4 linked regions of the Xenopus tropicalis genome follow. The protein of the gene in region 1 purifies or fractionates together with the protein of each later gene. This does not show direct contact. Links are inferred from orthologs where the notes say so. Each region holds a gene or a part of one and is shown in the gene's direction. Other genes may lie near its edges.

Region 1 (4,182 bases):
CAATGATTCCGGCTGCAGGCATGAGTATTTTTATTGTACTTATTTGCAGGCTGACAATACGCCATGTACAGCCTTACCCTTACACAGTGTGGCTACTGTGGCAGAAGTAGTTGCAAAGTGTGAGTATAATGGCATAAAAATGGACACAAATGAGAAACACATAGCAACACATAAAATCATTCATAAACTGCAATATGAAATGATATTTATTTTGCGGCTTGTATATGTGTGATCCGGGCTGCCATTGGAGGGGGATAGTTGTCCCGGGCCTGGTGGATTTTGGATCTTCAGGGGGGCCTGGCTGTGCTGCACTTACTTGGGTGAGCTGGGCCCCCCTGCTGTTAGTGAGGCACAGACATCAGAAAGGAGGGCAAGAGCTTGGGTGCCTGCATCTTCTTTCTTCTAACAGTTTTCTGTGAGCTCATTTGTCAATGAAGTTCAAATTTCACCCATCCAATCCCCATGTGGCTTTCCAGGAGTTGTACAAAAAAAATGGATAATGCTTCACTATACTGTGCACTTGTAGTGTCGGGTGCAAGTGCTGCTTAGGTTCAACTATAACTCAACTAACACGCCGCAGCACTCCGATTCCATGTGAAAAGTGTTTATTGTGCCAAGAAAACCAGGCAACATTTCAGGCACCAGCCCACATTGCCTGGTTTTCTTGGCACAATAAACACTTTTCACATGGAATCGGAGTGCTGCAGTGTGTTTATCAGCGATTTACCAGAAGTTGTGTGACAAAAAAAAAAAGCAATGCAATGGGAAATATGGCACTGGATTCCCCATCCATTAAAACCCAGCAGAGGTGGCAACCCTACCCTTAGTTAAAAGAGAAATTGGTTTGTTCATATCTTACACAGCATGTTCCAGGGCCTGACTAGAATAAAATATGTCATACAGTGATGTCTACAGAGGCTTTAAACAGATCTATGGCCATAAAAAGTATTATCCCGTTGGACAGTCCATCACATTAGGATAAAGGTTACAATGCTGCACAAATACACTATCCTCAGTTGCTTAAACATACAGACCAACCCCAAGGAGATTTGACAAACGTTGAATTTCAAGGTGTGGAATAAAAGTGATTATAGTAGTTAGGGGCTGTTTAATTGATTATTAATTCTACTGGTCTCAGTACATCAATTTGCTTCAAGATGCAAAAAAAACCAAAACATTTTTATTCCTTTGTTTTTATTCCCTTTTATAGCCTTCGGTATTACATTGCTGGCCCAGCCCTTACACTTATGATGATAAAATGTTCTTAGAAGTGATCATGCTCAATTCGCTTCCCTCCATCCTTTTCCTGTGAAGCAAATTCAGTTAAAATTAGACACCGAGATCCAACCTGTAAACCATCAGCTGTTCTTCATGCTCGTTGTTATTATTCGCGCTGCTTTGGAAAGGTCTCCCGAGCACCGGCAGGTGGCGCCGCGGTGCCCAAATGGAGAGCGGCCTGTGGGAAGCGGAAGCGGTGGTGTAGAGAGCAGCGCTTCCTGCAGTGTGTGCGTGTGCACGGCGGCCTGACTCCCCTGGGGAGGGGGTAAGACAAGCTTTGGCTCAGCGTGGAGATGCGCCATGAGAGCAGAGAGTTTCCGGTGGTGATTAGGTTACACAAAGGTGAGCGACGTCCATGAGACCCGCCCCCTCTCGGTAACCGTGCCAAGGGAGCTATCTGGGGTTGCGCCTTGCGGCGGCGAGGGTGGGAGGTAGGTGGGGAACCCTTCCATCATGTGAATAAAGTGGAGCATTTATATAACAACCGTGCAGCTGCAGCTACAATGCAGCAATTACATTTGCTATACACAAGCCAATGTTAAAGGGACCTGTAGTTCTGCTAGAGAAGTAAGAATTGGCGATGCCTTGTGCTAGCATGTGAGCAAACAGCGCCCTCGCCCTTTCGCGGTGCGGTAATGCACCTGGACTCTGGGCGCAGGGGACTGTATCAGACACCACGGTGGGGCTTTATGGCTATCAGGCTGCATGTAGTAGTGAGTGGTGCCTGTTGGCTTGTGTGCCTTAGGGGTTTTTAAAGTACAATTGTTTAAAACACTGGCGCAGTCCTGAAAGGGGAGTTCACTTTTGAATGAACTTTTACAATGTTGCCTCTTTTCAGCTGAGCCTCATTATTTATCTTGTATGGTTTTCTTAACTATTAATGCTTCTGGTCTGCCTATTTTCTGTCTGCAAAAAATGCTTTCTGATTGTCAGGGTCAGTGACCCTGGAGCTAGGGAAGGTGGCCAATACATGGAATGCATAGGCACCATCAGATGTCGTTTGGATAGGCCTGTCAGGGTGCCCATACACAGACAGATAAGATGCTGAATTTGGCTGAAGGACCTGAATTTGCCCGTGCACCTTTACACCGGCATGCTAACTCTTGGTACACAGAAAATGTGCTTTCATTCGTCTTGTTGTAGGGGACTAGTGATAGGTATATTTGTCCTGTTTCCCTCCTGAAAATTTTGCTAAATGGCAAAAATTTGCAAAATGCAGCAAAGTCGATAGGACGGCTTGTAAATGCCTTAATTGAAATGCTATGTATTTTTTTTTCTTTTTAATAAAGCTCTTTGATAGCACTGGAGAGAGCATGCAGGGTGGATAATGATATTTTGTTTTTAAGAGTCCTGCCACTCATTGCTATTTACACAACTGTAGAAGTAAAAAAACACTGGAGGATCACTGTTTTACACAGTTTTTCAAAGGAGCTTGATTCCTTTAATGCTGTAGTTTTGAGCTTTTTTGCTAAAAATGAATGCAGTTTCCTAAATATGCATTTTTTTCGCTGCAATTCTTAGCAATCAGATGTGCATGGTCTGTTTGGTAGCCATTTTTTTTACACAGCATGATAAAAAGGCCCCAAGATGTTTGTTGTTGCCAGTGATTTCAAGCCTAGACTAGACAGCACAAATATTAAGTAAGTAAATACTGAAACTGGAAATTACTATTAATACAGTGCTATCTGACTTTTTCAGTTTAAAGGAAAACTATACCCCAAAACAATGAAGGTCTCTATAAAAATATATTGCATGACCAAGCTCTTATGTAAAGCCCTGCTTCATCTAAATCAGTGATACCCAACCAGTGGCTCGTGGGCAACATGTTGCTCTCAGTGCCCCCAAACCAGGGAGTCATTTTTGAATTCCTGACTTGGGGGCACGTTTTGACTGAATAAAAACAAGATTCCTACCAAATAAAGCCCCCTGTACGCTGATAGTGCGCATAGAGGCTGCCTAATAGCCAATCTTAGCCCTTATTTGGCACCTCCATGAACTTTTATTGTGCTTTTGTTGCTCTCCAAGTCTTTCTACATTTGACTGTGGCTCACGAGTAAGAAAGGTTGGGGACCCCTGATCTAAATAAACCATTTTTTAAAAAAAAAATATATATATACTTTTAGTAGTATGTGCTATTGGGTACTCTTAAATAGAAAATTGCCATTTTAAGAATTACGGGCTGCCTCCTGGGATCATAGTATTCACAGTGCACACAAAGAAGGCAAGGCGCACACACATGCTTAGTCACATAAGCCAATAAATGGACAGAGTTCTGCCTTTTGCCCACACTTCTTCCTGTTACAGTTAGTTTCATTATTTCTGGTCATGTGATCTCTGAGGGAGCACACAGCCCATCACTGAATGGTGGATCAAGGGAAAGGATGTTAGGGCAATATTTACAGATACAGTTTGGTGAGATTCTTTAATAGTTTATATTATATTAAGTGACCTATCTGTTGGTTAAATCTTCATTCTGGGGGTATAGTCTTCCTTTAATGGAGCAATAAGAAATATAGTGCACATCTGAAGACTGGATTATATTTAAATGAGTCAAAAGGATAATTCACTGGGGCCTTAAAAATCAATTGAAGAGCCAAATCTGGCTTGCTGGGCTCACAAGTAGGACAAAATAACTAAAGAAGTTATAAAAACAAGTTTTATTTTTCCTTCTTTAGCCTAATGATGCATAGGTCTAAAGTGCATCCAAATACCATATTTTCTAGAAAGGAGTTGGCCGAATCCTGAACCAAATTTGAACCCTAATTAGCATATGCAAATGATAAAAAAAATGCCAATTTTCATAGTCATAATTTTATTAGCACAGTTTTGGTTTGGCCAGCCACTTGGATAGTTCACAAGTACATTCAGTTGGGCTTCTGTAAATGGGGGGAAAAAAGGGTGCAT
Region 2 (3,500 bases), on another chromosome or scaffold:
AGTAATCATGTCCCCTCGCAAGCGCCTCTTTTCCAGAGAAAACAACCCCAACCTTGACAGTCTCACCTCATAGTTAAAATCTTCCATCCCCTTAACCAGTTTAGTTGCACGTCTCTGCACTCTCTCCAGCTCATTAATATCCTTCTTAAGGACTGGAGCCCAAAACTGCACTGCATACTCAAGGTGAGGCCTTACCAGGGACCTATAAAGGGGCAAAATTATGTTCTCATCCCTTGAGTCAATGCCCTTTTTTATACAAGACAGCACTTTATTTGCTTTAGTAGCCACAGAATGACACTGCCTGGCATTAGACAACTTGTTATCAACAGATTCATATTTTAAAGTGCCTGAAATGTTGGTACCTAGATACTCTCCTATTCCTACAGATGTCACGTCTTTGGTTACTAGATCTGAACTAGGACTGATCGGTCTAAGACATGTGACATGTAACCAACCAGATGTTTGACTTTAGGCAGATACCCAACAGTCTGGTTTTTAAAATCCCATTGGGTGGAACTGCATTGACTCACTGATATGCTCCTCTCCAGACAGGTTCCTTTAATGAACAGTTCCAGTGTTTTCATACTGAACATGACTATAGTTTCTTTCTGTTTATTCTCTAGTGCTTCTCAAGAGGATTTGAATATAAAAAGCACCAAAGTGATCATAGCTATGAGATCCTGGTAATTATCATTCATATATTTTTCTGATGTGCCTAATATGAATTATGAAAGAGTTAAGTGTAATCAAAATGCTTAAAGGAGACTTAAATCTTTTAACCTAAATTATAAGGAGTCTTAAACCTCCACTCCAAATGCTGCAATAATTTTTTTTTTCATACTACTACTGAAGGGTTGAAACATTCTTTGCTCATATTTGAAAGAATTGCGCAAGACACTCACTGACTCTCAACATCTTGCTTTAGAATCAATCAGTTCTCTGGTTGTTGGGTAAATAAAGGCAATAATTTGAAAACCACAATAACTAGAAGACCATTTTTAAATTGTCTCAGAATAGCAATGACTAAGCCATACTAAAACATAACTGAAAGATAAGGTACAACTTTAAAAGAGTTTAAAATATTTTGCACCAGTCTAGTCATTAACTTTGTGTATATTGAATATCCATGAGATTAAGCACCTCCTGGTGAACATATCTGGTGTTGCGGGCTGCGCTTTGTATGTCATGAAATGCTGGGGACCACGCTGTGCCTGACATGTTGGGGACCACATGGTGATGGAATTCTTGGGCCACTTTGTCCCAGTTATGAAATGTGAACTATTGGGTCCATGCTGTGCCTGTGATGAAATGCTGGGGGCCACTCTGTCCCTGTCATGAAATGTTGGGGGCACTGTTCCTGTTGTTGAAGGCTGTGCTGGGAGACCAAGAAATGTGCAGGTCCCGGTATGTTTTGCCACGCTGCCCAGACTTTTTTTGTCCAAGGAACTGTCTTTATGGCCATTTGTTTGGCTTGCAACTATGACAACTTTTGTGAATTGCTGGTTAATGGTTTTCCAGTAAACTATACCGATGTAAACAGACTGACAGCTCTCCCCTAGATTAGGTGCTACCCCAGCTATACCCCTGTTTAGCAGATTAGTCCATGAATTCTGTGGCATGGATTCACAGCAGTGTCACACAGGGCGACTAATTGGCACTTCACAAGCTAAATCACACTCAGTAGCTAAATCACTGTGAGTAGTCGCCACTACAGAGTTTTTAAAAGTCACGGCGACTAATCACCCGTATGTCTTCGCACTTATATGTTCGCCAAATACATGCTTTACATCAAAGTGAGTGTTCCTAGGTGGCCCCCCCCACAGCATTTGTGTATGCCATAGGCAGAACTTCTCCTATTGATTTCAATGAAAAGCAACTGCAAGGGTGTTTTTAATCAACCTGTTTCTGCGTGCGCACACCTTAGTGGTCAGCATGCCTTTGCATGCCATAGACATAAAGGTACAAACAAAACCTGTTAAAATTAGACATAGAAAAGGCATAGACCCATATGAATACACTTAGTTATGTATGCACAAAAATCACTTTAAATAGGGTGTTATTTTAAAGAATTCACAGTACTAACCCTGACTATTATTTTTGATAAATGATGGTTCTTTAAATGAATCTTATGTATGTATGTACTATTTGGGATTTGTTTTCCAGACTTCAGATTTTCCCATCCTAGATCCGAGCTGGACAGCTCAAGAAGAAATGTCACTTCTTGAAGCAGTAATGGATTGTGGATTTGGAAACTGGTGAGCCTTGTTTTATGTCAGGGTTGTAGTGTATAGAGAACATATAGAAAAGAAAAAACATGGATTTAAAACAAATGTGGGAGAGCTCCAGAATTTAAAGGGGAACAAACATGAAAAAAGTTAATAATATTAAAAATATAAAGTCTAAACAAACATTTTGGCAATTTATAGTTTTTAAAAAATGTTGCACTATTACAGAGTTATGGTTAATTAAAGCAGTCTCCCATTCCCCACCCTCCAGAATCTTTGGCTCCCTGATCTGCATCAGTGACGCAGAATTATGTGAGTGACAGAGCAGAGTGAAAGCTGATTTGCTGTGGCATGTCATGAGGCCACATCACTCAACAGCAAACATGTGCAAAGGAAAAGTTAAGGAATGGAGCCGGGCTGGGTGCTGATTTGTACAAATAACAATAAAACAGCTTATTGTTTATATCCACAAAGACACGGAACTTCAGGCTCTTTTGCATTTGGGTTTTGTGTTGCCAGTCACCCTCCTGCAATTTACACACACAGATACAAATCTTACTTTAATAGCTAGATACAGGTGTAAAAAAAGAGTGTATAAAAGAGACTTCCTTTATACCAGTAACAGTGACACATCAATTGCAGCAATATTACTGACCTTTGCACTATCAACTGTGTGTGTACAGGCACATAGGTTCCTGTATGTTGGATTCAAAGACACCTCTCTCTGTCTTTAGACATAAGTCTTTTCTAGGTTTTCTATCAGATCTGAAAAATGGGCAGTTAGATATCGTCAAGAATGGTTGGACCATTGATAACTTATATTATTTGATCTTTATTAGGTGTTGTAAACACAAAGTACCAAACAAAGTTCTTTTTGCTTAATCCCTCTGGATATGAGATCCCTAACCAATAACCAATAACCATACCCAATTTAACTAAATTTCCACTTTAATTGTATGGACATTATACATTTATTTTCAACATAAGCACAATAAATAACAGGTATTAAGTTCTCCATTAAACTTAGTCTAATTAGTGTTTGTTACATGTCTTTGCGGAAGCTAGTGGCTGAAGCTAAACATGCACAAAGCTGGCCCTTTATACACCAGTGCCTTGCAGCTTATACAGTGCAGCTTCTGTTAAATTGTAGATTAGAGATGCTCAAAGCAGCTGCATATCCAAGCAGAGGTTGTGCTTCTCTGTAACTGGTGCGAAAGTTGGCATAATCGCCAGATCTTACCCATGAAACAATTTTATCTCTTTGTTTCTGCTTTA
Region 3 (3,802 bases), on another chromosome or scaffold:
TTTGGAGCTTTCTGGATAATGAATCCCATACCTGTATTATATTAGCTCAACTGTGTTTATTTTGTTTTGTCAGTGGCAACGAGCAGTTACAATGAAAAAAATGCTGCAGGAGATCATCGAAAAGCAACCAAAGTTCAGTAATGTGGCGCCGCTCAAAACCAAACAGATCGTCCACTGGTGCCGCATACATGGATACACACCGCCTGATCCTGAGAGCCTGGGCAGTGATAAGGAATCCATTGAAGATGTGCTGGCTCGTATAGATAATGAGGCGGGTACGTTTATATGGGGTAATGAAATAGGTGACGTCCATTTTCCGTTGGATTCAGCCTCGTTTTTTACTCTTTCTCATCATTAAAAATATAAATATGCAAGAGTTCATTAAAATATATGTGAATTGTTACACATAAGCTAAAAAACTGGGGCCTTTTTATAGCTTTACAGACATCATTCTCTGCTCCTGACATTCTCTGCCAAAAAATGGAGGAACTAGAGAAAACGTTTAAAAAGGAAACAGAAGAGGATGTAGATGTGGATGTGCTGAGTGCCAATGAAGAACAGAGATTGCACATTAAGAAAGAGAGTGAGGCAGAGGAAGATGCAAAGCTGTACATGGTAACCAGTCCTGCTTGTGAGTTCATCAGAGATAAAGCACAGGAGGTAAGGCCTAATTCTGTGGGCTCTGCATCATGGTGTGCAGCATAAATCCTGTGTTTAGTGCCTGCTTCTCTATAGATAGATGCAGTGATGCCATTGTTGGCCTGCAGGAAAAACCTATAAATCTAGAGATGATCAGCCTATCTACGTGTACAGCATGGTCCTGTGTTGGGGTTCTTGGTTGTCTTGGATCAGTCCCTTCAACAGTTTAGGCTTGTCATTTGCTTATTTCTACTATTCAATACAAGGATGTCCAGCCTATGTCTCTTCAGTTGCCACTGCACTCTTAATCCAGAGAGCTGTAATTTGGCAGATTGAGCAATGTCCCTTCTTCTAAATTGTAGTCTGGCATGTTAAGTTGCTCTGTTTAATGTTTTTGCCCAGCCCCACTGCAAGAACTCCCCATTCAGATTTATATGGTGTATATTACACTGTTAGGCACCATTCCTTTTTTTGCTATTAAAGGAACCTTTCCATTTGTGATTGATACTGCAGAATATATGAACTTTGCACTTTTACTACATAGGTTGGCACATTGATGGCTTGGCCTTTATATAAGCAAGTAAAGTAATTTTTTTCCATGGCTTGGTCTGTTTATAGATTGGTGTTTCAGTACAACCAGTCGAAGTGCAAGACAATATTTATACATCTGCTGTCGAAGAAATGATTTTAAAGGTAAGTGTTGCATATATATATAGCACATGTATATAGAGCACTCACGGCATTATAGTGTAGAAAAAGTCAGTTTATTTAGTCATCGGAACGCGTAGATGGTATGCTGAAATAAATCACTGACTTGATTGACGCTATAGCTGTGAGTGCTTTCTACTGTTGAGTTTGATGCTTTATTTTTGTCAGCACCCAGCCGTTGCCCCGATATTGGTGAGTGCCGATTCTTTACAAGACTATATATATATATATATATATATATATATATATATATATTTATATATATATATATATATATATATATATATAATATGGCCAGTCCTACACTCACTTTTATCAGATTGATTACTGATACTGCTTCAATATACATTTAACAAATGATTGGGTTTTACCAGCAGCTTATTTGCTGTCAATGTTAAAACCCCCAAATTGTTGCCCCTTTATTGGCTCATTGGGATCACCTGACTGTAGCTTGAAAGGGTGGGAGTTACAACATTGTGCTGCCCTGCTCCTGTATAAACTATAGCAAAAGAAAGGGAAAGTTGTGCTCACCACTAAATTTCAAATCATTAGAAAAGATGTCCTCTGCACCCTCCCATAGGACATTAAAACATTCTGTGCATTAAGCTACGAAGCAATGCCCTCCCCTTTAAGCAAAGCAGGGATTGTTTGTCCATATATTGCAATATATTCAAGCTGGCCAACTACATCAAAGTCATCCCTGGTCTGGCCAGTCCTACGCTCACTTTCATCTGATTCGTTAAGAATTCTTCTGCTTCATTATACATTTAAGGTAGCAGGACATGTACAATATAATCATAGCCCTCACCTGCTTTCAAGATAGACCAGCACTTAGAAGATGATGAAAACATGTAAAACACAATGAAAACAAAGATTAGTTGTGATTTCCCAGCCATGATGGGGAGCAGGCAGAATAAGGCACACACAGGCAGCATAGGACAGGCAGAGTATGGCACACACAGGCAGCATAGGGCAGGCAGAGTACGACACACACACAGGCAGCATAGGGCAGACAGAGTATGGCACACACAGGCAGCATAGGACAGGCAGAGTATGGCACACACAGGCAGCATAGGGCAGGCAGAGTATGGCACACACAGGCAGGGTAGAGCAGGCACAGACACAGTAGGGCAGGAGACTGGGAAAACTGTCTGCCAGTTGAATACACCCCTGGTGGTTAAATCTAGACATCAGTCCATGTACAGTCCCACAGCCTGCAGTACATTGCATTGCATTCAAAATTCAATTGTTTTCCTTTTAAAGACAGTAGGTCTGTATCATTTCTCTTTCCAATAACCTATTCATGTTTCTATCTGGTTTCTTCAGGCTACAGAACAGTTTGTTAGTGACGTCCTTCGGGACGCTTTAGGAGTAGCCTATCAGATGACATCCCACAATAGGTAAGTCATCCTCTTACAAATATGTATGGAGTCACTTTTTTATTTTTCTATTATGGTCAGCTTAATCTTTCCCAGAGTTTTTACATCACATTTTATTTTGTCATCATTACCAGAGCGCCACAAGAGATCACAGTATCAAATATCCACCAAGCCATCTGTAATATTCCTATGTTTGACTTCCTCACTAACAAACACATGGCCTCATCAACTACGGAGGATGAGCAGTCCTTAAAATAAGGTGTGAAAGTGGCACAAGGAAAACTACTGACAGAGCCATCTGTTTGCCACCTAGTGGATGGAGGATTCCGAGGCTTGGACATTCTCACTGAGAAATGAAATGCAACGTCTTACAGCTAGAACCTACGCGAATTGTTTTCTTATGTAAATAATGTCGGTGTAACTGTGTGTGAGAGAACCTGTAACTATGTATTTGTTATGTGTACATGCAGATCTGTATTTATGTACATGAGTTTTTGTATTTCCCTGCATGCAATAATGCAAGGTGCAAGCTAGGCCAAAGTGAATAAAACACAAATCCCTCTAGTTAACCTACCAGCTGCAAATGTTTCATTCAATATGCAACTATTACTGTATGGTGTATATGTCACAAATACAGTTCTTCAGTTGTCTATTTGAATCTTCTTTATTCAGGAACATGGCAGGCACTTCAATTGATCACCCCAGATCAGCATAGTAAATGCATAAATAATTTATTTTAGCATTAGCCCACCCATAACATGTTGTACCTGCCACTCATATGCCACCTACAGACTTCACAATTAAAATGGCTGAAGGGTGGCTTTAATAGAGCAGTTACTGACAGCTTTATAAGCCAATATGGCACCAAAATACAGATCTAGGGACTTCACTTTGCAGCCCTGATTGTTACCCACTAATGCTATATACACAGTCCATGTTTGTGCAACTGCAAGGATGCAGTCATGCTGCACATTTTTAAATGAGCCCTAATATGTATTGGAGAGTAAATAGGTGGGAAAATGTGCCACCTGGGCAAAGAATCTGCTTCACCTCAGTACAGTAACTGACTAAAGACG
Region 4 (4,115 bases), on another chromosome or scaffold:
GCTTCCTTTGCTGGTCAGTTTCCTTGCATTCCACAAGTGAGTATTTCCTTATAATCATGCAGGAGGATTATGTCACGGGGCGTGCTTCTCTTATCGCGTTGGCATGACCTTTTTTGTGCCATTTCCCTAATCTCTCTCCATTCTGAAGTGTCATTCTGCTGCTCTTCATCCTGAACTTCGCATTCTACCACTCTCCATCCTGTACTGGCTCTATATTACATTGTATTTGCTCTATACTAATGTACTGATATCATACTGACTTGGTACTGGCACTGCCTTAGTAATTCTGACACTGTTCTACCTTGGCTTTGTCAAGGAATCATATCCCACCAGAGCTACTTACCTTAACTGACACCATTTTTCCTGAACTAATACTGTACGCACTTGATTTCATTCCTCTGCTGGTAGCCGGTGACGCCTTATCACATCACTACTCACACCATGGCAAAGGGCAATCCAGAGGGACCCTCAGGCAGAAAGGTCCTACTGTGTCCTTCTGTTCAAAACTTCCCGGTGTGACTCCTTTCCAGGCTCAGGACTTGCCAGCTCTGGTCACAACTAAGGATCCAGAGGTGGTTTCCAATCCCTTGGTTGCACAAGAAGTTCCTGCATAGGCTCCCACTTCCAGTCAAGAACCTCCTCCATGGGCTATTCAGCTCTCACCAGGCATCTCTAAAATAGCAGCATGCCTAGATAAGCTACTGGACAAATTGGATCGCGACTGATCCGAATCTCTACACTAAATCCCTCAAACACCCTGCATCTCATAATCCTTTAGACTGCAGCAACACTGCTTCCCTCCATGCCTCCAAATCATTGAGTGAAGGAGAAATCTCCTCGGATGACTCTGGTGACACCATCCTAAATATCCTTCAGAAGCAATTGATTCCTTAATTGCTTCAGTCATTATGTGCCTCGACAGAATGCTCCAGAATAGCATCATCCAATTGGTGTGGGACCACCCTGAGAAATGTTTCCATGCCAACTGGCATTTTTAAAGCCCTTGAAAAAAGGTCCACTCTGCAGTCCGTGGAAATATCTTTCCAAGAATACAGCCCTTCAGTCCCAGATTCCTCTTATTTTAAGGATTCTATGGACAAAAAGTTGAAAGGGTTTCTCACGTCTGCCTTCCCATCTGCCTTCACATCTGCAGGGGTATGGTAGCAGGGAGGGTGATGGGTCTTCCTCTTCTAGTGTCCTGCCTCCTGCTGGGAGATATTATACATGCTCCTTGTGTCCCACAGACGTTCTGAGAGGAAAGGATTTAACTGTATCACAAAATCCCCCACTTTTTCGTTTATTTACATAAGCCCAATAAATATTTAGCACTGATGCCAGACCAGGTTAGGGTTCCTGTTGGGGAAAAAGGATGTGTGATGGGCAAAAAGATACAGAGGTTATATTGATTAAAGGAGTTGTTCATCCTGTTAAATTAACTTTTATTATAATGTAGAGAGTGCTAATTCTAAGACAATTTGCAATTGGTCTTCATTTTTTTTTATTGTTTGTGGTTCTTGCATTATTTAGCTTCCAGTTTGGCATTTTAGTAGCTGTCTGGTTGCTAGGGCCCAATATAACCTAGTAACCAGGCAGTGGTTTGAAAGAGACAGGCATATGAATAGAAGAGCGCCTAAATAGAAAGATAAGTAATACAAAGTAAAAATAACAGCACTGTAGCCTCACAGGGCAATAGATTTTTGGCTGCTGGGGCCTGTAACCCCCTTTTGAAAGCTGGAAGGAGTCAGAAGAGGTAGGCAAATAATTCAAAATTACAAAAAAAAATGAAGACCAGTTGAAAAGTTGCAAAGAATAGGCCATTCTATAACATACTAAAAGTTAACATGAAGGTGAATCATCCCTTTAATATTACATGTGGTTACAAGAGGCTGTTCTGACCAACACTATTGTCCATGGGACAGCGGCAGGCAGAGCACCTTTATCTCTACTTGGCAAACACAAGGGCAAATAATGAAGCTGCATTTGCCTCTCCTAGGTGCTAGAGGCTGCAGTAATGGCTGCAGTAATGGCTGCTGTAATGGCTGCTGTAATGGCTGCTGTATTGGCTGCTGTATTGGCTGCTGTATTGGCTGCTGTATTGGCTGCTGTAATGGCTGCTGTAATGGCTGCTGTAATGTATCTGATGTCTTTGCATTTTGGTTTCAGGCATTGACCTCTCTGAATGTTTGCAGTATCCAGATTTCAGCGTTGTAGCGCTGTACAAAAAGGTTGTCGTTGCTTTTGGCTTCATGGTTCCAGATGTGAAATATAATGAAGCCTACATCTCATTCTTGTTTGTGCATCCTGAATGGAGGAGAGCCGGCATCGCCACATTTATGATCTACCACCTTATACAGGTAAGCAGCAATACGAGGTGTGATCCCTTTAAAGGGGTAGTTCACTTTTAGTGTGTCATTGAATTCCTTATTCCTAGCAACTTTGCAATTGGTCTACACTATTTTTTTTAAGTTATTATATTATTTGCCTTCCTCTTCTACATCTTTCAAGCTTTCACAGGGGTAACTGACCCCAGTAACCAAAAACTATTGCTTTGTGTGCTTGCCATTTTATTACTAGTTACCCTTTATTCCTTTCCTTTCTATTCAGTCCCTCTGCTATTTATATTCCAGTCTCTCATTCAAACCACTGCCTGGTTGCTAAAGTAAAGACCCTAGCAACCAGATAGCTGCTGAACTTCCAAACTGAAGAGCTGCTGAACAAAAAGCCAAATAACGGGAAAAAAAACATAGGAATTGAAAACCAATTGCAGATTGCCTCAGAATATCAGTGTCTGTCATACTAAAATAATAATTTAAAGGTGAACTACCCCTTTAATATGGCTAAACCATTTTATCTTTAATGAGGAGCAAAAAAAACCCAGCAACCACCCTTTAATGTTTGCATCTTTTCAGCTCTGTTCTGGTAACTCCTAAAATAGCTCTATACTGTGACTAGCCCTACCCACATTCCCCTGCAAGCAGTTATATGATCCAGCGCCAGAAGTACCGTTTAATTGTCATTTCATTCTTTCAGTTTCCTGCTTGCTGAACCGCCATAAACTTGCCAGCTAAAATAGCAGTTTTTCTCCACCCACCCTTTTTGCCTCTGGCCAATTTCATCATTTTCTATAGAAATAAAAAACATTTTTCTTTCTTGGCAGACTTGTATGGGGAAGGATGTCACCCTGCATGTTTCTGCCAACTCATCAGCGATGTTGCTCTACCAGAAGTTCGGATTCAAGACGCAAGAGTACATTTTGGACTTCTATGACAAATATTACCCGTTGGACAGCAAGGAATGCAAGCACGCCTTTTTCCTTAGGCTGCGGAGGTGATGGAGATACATTAACCTAAATGCCTTGTGGGATATTTGGCAGTTTATTTCAGGGCAGAAAAGCCAATTAGTCTTTTGTAAGCTGCGCCTCACACGAAATAAAAACAATGTCAAAAGAATCATCTGTGTTTGTAAGAAAGGCTGCGACATGCATGGAGTAAATGGACCCTGTAGGAGCTAACAAATATTAAAGGGGAACCGCTATTATACCACCTATCGCTGTAATCTGTTCCTTCAAAAAGTATGAATAAATACCATTTTATATGCTGAAATCCAGCTGCAAAACGTGTTTTCTCTTTCTGCGTTATTTAAAATCCTGGTAGGGGAGGAGGGTCTAAAACTTTGATATTAAAAATTGTCCACAGTTTACAGACTGCATGCAGGAAGTACTTAACCACAATGCATTGCACTGCAACGTTCCCTTCCTAATTGACATAATGTGCGCAGGGAATTGTGGGATTTGGAGGATGCAGGCCGAGGAAAGTCAACTACTGTTACATTTTTTTTATTTTTGAGTTTCAAAGTAGTCAGCCAGATCAGCAGCAGAACAGGGGGAAAGGCTTAGGGAACTGTTCCACACCATATTATTACATTACAAATCATGAAAAGGCAGCATATTTTTAATTGATTTATATTGCAAAGTTGCTTGAAACTACTTTTCAAAAAGCTTGTGTTTGGGTGGAGTTCCCCTTTAAAGGACAAGGAAACCTGAACTCACTGGGGCGGGTGCCAATATTTTATGCCAGTCTGCACAATGGACGCCTGGGAAGTACAGGTAAGATGGC

What was found.
Region 2: the proteins of zzz3 (region 1) and tada2a purify together in Homo sapiens (affinity purification with mass spectrometry; 4 studies listed by BioGRID and IntAct, with this or other methods). This does not show direct contact. The link is inferred for Xenopus tropicalis from reciprocal best matches to the Homo sapiens genes ZZZ3 and TADA2A.
Region 3: the proteins of zzz3 (region 1) and yeats2 purify together in Homo sapiens (affinity purification with mass spectrometry; 3 studies listed by BioGRID, with this or other methods). This does not show direct contact. The link is inferred for Xenopus tropicalis from reciprocal best matches to the Homo sapiens genes ZZZ3 and YEATS2.
Region 4: the proteins of zzz3 (region 1) and kat14 purify together in Homo sapiens (affinity purification with mass spectrometry; 4 studies listed by BioGRID and IntAct, with this or other methods). This does not show direct contact. The link is inferred for Xenopus tropicalis from reciprocal best matches to the Homo sapiens genes ZZZ3 and KAT14.

What each region holds. Positions count from the first base shown.
Region 1 is NC_030680.2:80,371,329-80,375,510, forward strand, and holds the start of zzz3 (ZZ-type zinc finger-containing protein 3), read left to right. Parts: upstream 1-1,382; 5' UTR 1,383-1,620; intron 1,621-4,182.
Region 2 is NC_030678.2:76,073,088-76,076,587, forward strand, and holds part of tada2a (transcriptional adapter 2-alpha), read left to right. Parts: intron 1-623; coding exon 624-683; intron 684-2,163; coding exon 2,164-2,255; intron 2,256-3,500. UniProt on the Homo sapiens protein: Component of the ATAC complex, a complex with histone acetyltransferase activity on histones H3 and H4. Required for the function of some acidic activation domains, which activate transcription from a distant site. Binds double-stranded DNA.
Region 3 is NC_030681.2:127,107,754-127,111,555, forward strand, and holds the end of yeats2 (YEATS domain-containing protein 2), read left to right. Parts: intron 1-73; coding exon 74-275; intron 276-436; coding exon 437-660; intron 661-1,257; coding exon 1,258-1,332; intron 1,333-2,673; coding exon 2,674-2,747; intron 2,748-2,860; coding exon 2,861-2,984; 3' UTR 2,985-3,302; downstream 3,303-3,802. UniProt on the Homo sapiens protein: Chromatin reader component of the ATAC complex, a complex with histone acetyltransferase activity on histones H3 and H4. YEATS2 specifically recognizes and binds histone H3 crotonylated at 'Lys-27' (H3K27cr).
Region 4 is NC_030681.2:38,352,461-38,356,575, forward strand, and holds the end of kat14 (cysteine-rich protein 2-binding protein), read left to right. Parts: intron 1-2,163; coding exon 2,164-2,354; intron 2,355-3,157; coding exon 3,158-3,331; 3' UTR 3,332-3,615; downstream 3,616-4,115. UniProt on the Homo sapiens protein: Component of the ATAC complex, a complex with histone acetyltransferase activity on histones H3 and H4. May function as a scaffold for the ATAC complex to promote ATAC complex stability. Has also weak histone acetyltransferase activity toward histone H4.